2 linked regions of the Caenorhabditis elegans genome follow. The protein of the gene in region 1 interacts with the protein of each later gene in a pairwise test. Each region holds a gene or a part of one and is shown on either strand. Other genes may lie near its edges.

Evidence for each region. Proteins that work in one complex are often made in the same cells at the same time.
Region 2: the proteins of skr-20 (region 1) and fbxa-116 interact in a two-hybrid assay, tested with the Caenorhabditis elegans proteins (one large-scale study listed by BioGRID).

Annotation. Positions count from the first base shown.
Region 1 is NC_003284.9:13,222,493-13,225,229, reverse strand, and holds skr-20 (Skp1-related protein), read left to right. Parts: upstream 1-1,692; coding exon 1,693-2,214; downstream 2,215-2,737. Other genes in the region: skr-19 (Skp1-related protein), read left to right, coding at 522-989.
Region 2 is NC_003283.11:20,187,128-20,190,754, reverse strand, and holds fbxa-116 (F-box domain-containing protein), read left to right. Parts: upstream 1-1,864; 5' UTR 1,865-1,872; coding exon 1,873-1,940; intron 1,941-2,019; coding exon 2,020-2,097; intron 2,098-2,145; coding exon 2,146-2,776; intron 2,777-2,823; coding exon 2,824-3,045; 3' UTR 3,046-3,098; downstream 3,099-3,627. Other genes in the region: fbxa-115 (F-box domain-containing protein), read left to right, coding at 1-171.

The sequences.
Region 1 (2,737 bases):
TTGAGGAGCGCACATAAACTTATCGATTTTCTTGAAATCTTGATTTTCAAACATTTTAGTAAAATAATACATTCTTGAAACGCTATTTTCAAATCAGTTTTTCCTAATGTGCTATGTAATTGAACTGTTCAACAGAAAGTAATGATTGTCGTGACTTATCAGTGACTTTTTTTTCATTTTTTTTGTACCAACTAGTGGTCACCCATCATATTCTTGACATACACTTTATTGATCCAAAAATTTCTGTGTTTAACATTGTAATAGTTCTAAGAATCGGATAAAAAAACTTTATTTTCAGCTACGTTTTTTAAAGCAAAAGTGCGAAAGAAATTATTACACATTGAATTTTATTGTCAAACGATTTAATTTAGTTTTTTCTTCTGCAAGAAACTACATACAAATAGAACTTCATCTAGAAAATTTAAGGAAATAGTTTGAATCCTGACTATTACTATTATTTGCTAATTTTTTTTCTTCTTTTCATTCTTTCTACTACAGACATTTTCAAGTATTTCAGTGTAATGCAAGTTGAAGAACCTGTAATACTCTACAAACTTCGGTCAACAGATGGGCAGAGATTTCTGGCAGATAGGCGAACAATCGGAATGATAGGACGGATTGAGGACCTATTTAGAAATGCTGGATTAGACCTGATTCCTGCCGATCAACTGCAGCCAATTCAACTAGAAATCCCTGCGACAGTGATGAGGAAAGTGATCGAGTGGTGCGACCATCATAAGCACGACCCGCCCTACGACGAATCTGAACCGGAAACCAATGATATTCCTGACTGGGATGCGTCGTTTCTGATGGTGAGGCACAACATGCTCTTTGATATAATCCGAGCCGCGAGGGATTTTACTGTACCTGGTCTCTTCGCCATGTGCTGCCGTGTCGTCGGACAAAATCCTAGAGAGATTATTGACGGATTGGTGAATGATGAAGAGGAGGAGCAGCCAGTATATCCAGTGGTGGCTGCAGCGGCTTAGGAATTTCATTTCAGATGTGTGGTGTTTCGTATGGTATGGGAAAATTTAGACTATTTGTTTTCATTTCAGTAAATATTTGAAGTGAGAAAAATGTAATCATAAGATCAAAGTTGAGCCCATTTTTGAAATTTTTGTGATAATTTGGGCAACATTTTAGCAAAAGTATTCTTCGTCTTTTATATTTTACAGAAAAAATGCAAAAACCATACTAATTTTGTAAACAATGCAACTTTATTTTTCAAGTTTGAATCAAAAATTCTCTTCTCGATTCCCTACAAAAAAACTTAAATACAACCACCATACTTCTCAGCCACCACCACATTTAATGCTAATTTCCCGTGTTCAACCGTCTTGTATTCAATTTTATTTTCTCTGCTTCTTCGTTCAATTTATATTTTAAAACTTTCGCTGTAGATTTGTAATATAGAAAATTTGCCTTTGATCAACTTGACTCACAACGCCATTCACTTTTCTTCAAAAAATTTTACAATTCCAGTTTTTAATCGTTTCATTCCATCTTTAATAAATTCATAGTGTATTCTTCCAGCTCTTTTCCACAGGTCTATGATTCGCCAAATAAATAATAAAAATTACTTTAAAGATATCTCATTTATATATTTATTTTTGTGTGGTTTGAATCCACTCAATAATATTTTTGAAACAATTGCAAAACTATTTAATCAATTACCTTTAGTTCCACATCATGACCACACCACGATCTGCGCCCTTGTACAAACTGAAGTCAGAGGATGGTCAAATTTTTAATGTCGAACGAGGACCAATGAAATTTTGTGCATTTATCAATCAGAAGTTTATTGACCATGGAGTGAACGACAGAAATTGTGAACGAGCAGATCCAATTCTCGTTCCATTCCACTCATCGATTGTTCAAGCTGTAATAGAGTGGCTTTACCATTATCAGGACAACCCGCTCGCCCGACGAGACTCCAAAATTCGTTACCACGATTTTTCCGAATGGGACAAGCAGTTTTTCAACGTGGAATCGGGAGTTCTTTTTGCACTACTCAATGCTTCTCATGCGCTTGGAGTCGAAGATTTGATGAATATGGGGTGTGCAGCCGCAGCAGAATTGATTCGAGGAAAAAGCACGGAAGAAATTCGCAAGATCTATGGAATCAGGTCAGATGAAGAACAAATGGAGGAAGCGTTGGCAAATGGTGGAGAGGGAACATCTGCAATGACATTCACAACGGATTCTGATTGATGTTTAATTTCACATATTGTGAAGAAGATGTTTGAAAGAATATATTTATACACTTTGATTCAAGTTTATTTGTGAATAAATTATTTTACAAACCTCATAAATGAAAAATTGAAGTTATAAGAATGTAAAAGAATAGTTGGAAAACAAAACAAACAACTAAAGTGTCACTACTAATTAAAAAATTGCTTAAAATTAAATATCAAAGAACCATATGTAAATCAAGTTCTCGTTGTTTCAGAATATGAGGTGAGCCCCCAAATTACCGGATTTTTATTTCCGATTTTTTCTGATTTTGCATCCAATTTGGCCGAACTTGTACATTTCTGGTGTTTATTGCAAAATACTAGGTTTTAAAAGAACTAAACGTTTATAAACTTCATGACGGAATTGAATGCAGCGTTCTGATTACTAAATCTGGAAAATTTAATAGTGTGCTTTTTTTTAAAGTTTTTTTTTTCATCTGCCTTAATTTGCCCTTTTTTGTGGAATATTATTTTTCAATTTTGTTAGTTAAGTAAAGTTT
Region 2 (3,627 bases), on another chromosome or scaffold:
TGTCTGCTGTTCGATTCAGATTTACGAATTGAAGCGGACGTTGTGAGAGTTTTCAACCCAAACTTTGTTGATGAATATGTCTCCCGTCCTCTCCAATTCAAAGTCGAGCAATTTCTCGTCATAATCCATAAAACATCTCTGCGAATCAAGAAAATTGAAAACCCCCATTAAATTCCCCTTGTTGTTGTTATTTCTCAAGTGAGAATGAATATTTTTGTTGAAATTTTCTTTTTTTTTGTAATGTCAGTTATATCTGACATTTGCATCGTTTCAATATCTCTCAAAATCACATTTTAATGTACCTTTTCAGCAATTGTAACATTGGAAATTCAAAAACTACTGGATTTTTCCTCCAATTTTATGCTTTTTACCCTTTTTCCCGAGACTGGACCACAGAAAATAGTTTGCTGATTATCAAAATATTGAACAGGACGTTGTGAGAGTTTTCAAACCGGACTTTAATGAAAAATATGCCAACCGTACTCTCAAAATCAATATCGATCAATTTCTCGTCACAATCTATTGCGAAGTGTTGAAAATCGAAAAAAATTGAGGAACCCTGTTAATTTTCCATTTTTGTTGTTATTTCTTAAGTACTTCATGTTGATTTTCTGACGTCTATATAGGTTGAATATCTTTTATAATAACATTTTAATTATGTTTTTTAGCGATTTTATCATTAAAATATCTAAGAAGCGCTTTTCCTGCTCGATAAATTGACAATTTTCCTTGAGAAAGCTCTCAAATTAATAATTTTCACAGATTCAAAAAAGCCGAGAGAAGCCTGTTTTCACGAAATATTTATGATTTTCCAGCAAAAATGTGAATTTTTCGAATTAAAAATTTGTCAGATTTGATCGGGGTGCAATTTTTGTTGAAATAAACTCATGTATAGCATCGGTTTTGAAAATCCAACCTCCAACCTCTCACTTCGTTGCATCGCGTTGCGTCTTTCGCCATCCATCCGTATCTATAAGATTCGGTTTTGTTGTTATTTCATGTTGTGTTTTTATTGTTTCGATTAACTCAGAATGACCCTAAAAGGTTGAATTGTCATTATGAAAATAATCTCAAAATAAAAATTGTCTAGCTTGAAAAATGAAGCTTCACTTTTTTCATGTTAAATTCTGAACGATCGGCAGTTTATGTGCGTTTTTTCAAACCAACGTAAAAACTTATTATCGGAAAATTGCTTTTATATAATGCTACACTTCAGAGATAAGAAATGAGGAATATTTGAAGACAACAACCATTTTTGACAATCACGCGATTCAGGAACCTGTCAGCGGTCAGCAATAAATCTACTTTCCCTAATTGTGTCTCTGACGAATACCGAGAGAATGAGGAATACTGAATTGTTGGAACATACTTAAGCAGTGTCGAAACTGTTGTTGCCATGTTTGATGTTTTTCTTTTTATGATAAACTAATATAGAATTTCTGGTACTTTTATATTTAAATCATTTTTTCAATTAGGTTGGAATTTCTGGTATTTTTATATTTTAACCATTCTTTCGATTAAATAAAAAGGTCAAACTTTAAATACAAAATCCACATGTTTTTGAAATTATAATATGACACCTTACTTGACAGTTCTCTCAAAGTTATGTCTTTTGAATTAAATTCATTTATTTGAAAGACTAGAAAATTGTAGATCCAGCACTGTTTTTAGGTACGTCTATGATTGAGTTTTTACAGTATTCCTTCTATTAGTCTTGCATCCCTACTACCACATATTTATTTTTATCATTTATGTATTACGTTTATTTGAACGTGAAAATTTCCTCTTTTGTTTCCTCCGGTACTTTGTCCTAATTTCTTTTGTTCCGGAAACTTTGAAATCTAACATAATTTTCATATTTCTCAGAAACCTATGGAAGCGAACCAGATCAACGAGAAAATGGCCAAAAAACTGACAGATGAGTTGAAGGCTATTGAGATGTTAGTTTTTTTCTGTTTTAACTAAAAAAAATTGGTTTGACTTGAAAACAATATAATTTTTTAATGAACATAACTTTAGCTCTGGACCTCCATCACTCTTCGATATGCCAATGTGTGTAATGCATACAATTGTGGACAATTTGGATGCAATCGATCGGTTACCTCACTTTTATAGTTTTAAAGTTTAATTTCTCTTTGATTTCAGATTGATTCTTCGCTATGTAAACCGAAAATTGCGGAATTTCGTTGATAACAAGAAGCCAATTTTCAAGAATGTTAAAGTATATTCTGTCGTGGGTGGCTATAATCTTGTACTAGGTCATGATAAATCTACAATATTTTATGATTCAAAAGGTTCTGGTTGCATTGCAAGATGTGATGGTCGCAGGATGCGGAAAATCAACAAAAGCTCGTTGGCTGCACTGTTTGGTGATCTCGAAGTATGGATGAAAAATCCGCAACTTCAACTGGATAAGTTCAGCTTGTACGCAGTGTGTGACGATGAACTGACCACAAACCTTCTCAAAAAGATTACAAATGTAGAATATATGTTTCATGCCAAAAGTATTTACCTGAGCGTTGCGAAGTTCAGTAATGTCATCTCTATCCTTTCTCACTTTAAACCAGGATTTCTTGAAGAAATTGTTTTTTTCTGTCATTCTGGTCATGAAAGTATACATGAACTCTTTCTTCTAGAACAATGGAAACAAGTTAAATCAGTCTTTATTAAGTGGTTCCCATTCGATGATTTCCCCTTTGAGCACTTGGTCCATGTGTCTTGTTTCGAACTCAACTTGCCCAGAATATCAGTCTCTGTTGCGATTATAATTAGAGACGTGAGCTCGAATATTGACCTTTCCACAATTTAATCTATAATTTGTAGGTTCTCATGAAAACCGCTCAATTCGAATATGGAAAGATTCGTCTGTACGATTTAAACAATATGGATGACCCTCCAGATATTGAAGCGGACGTTGTGAGAGTTTTCAACCCAAACTTTGTTGATGAATATGTCACCCGTCCTCTCCAATTCAAAGTCGAGCAATTTCTCGTCACAATCCATAAAAGATCTCTGCGAATCAAGAAAATTGAAAACCCCCGTTAAATTCCCCTTGTTGTTGTTATTTCTCAAGTGAGAATGAATATTTTTGTTGAAATTTTCTTTTTTTTTGTAATGTCAGTTATATCTGACATTTGCATCGTTTCAATATCTCTCAAAATCACATTTTAATTTACCTTTTCAGCAATTGTAACATTGGAAATTCAAAAACTACTGGATTTTTCCTCCAATTTTATGCTTTTTACCCTTTTTCCCGAGACTGGACCACAGAAAATAGTTTGCTGATTATCAAAATATTGAACAGGACGTTGTGAGAGTTTTCAAACCGGACTTTAATGAAAAATATGCCAACCGTACTCTCAAAATCAATATCGATCAATTTCTCGTCACAATCCATTGCGAAGTGTTGAAAATCGAAAAAAATTGAGGAACCCTGTTAATTTTCCATTTTTGTTGTTATTTCTTAAGTACTTCATGTTGACTTTCTGACGTCTATATAGGTTGAATATCTTTTATAATAACATTTTAATTATGTTTTTTAGCGATTTTATCATTAAAATATCTAAGAAGCGCTTTTCCTGCTCGATAAATTGACAATTTTCCTTGAGAAAGCTCTGAAATTAATAA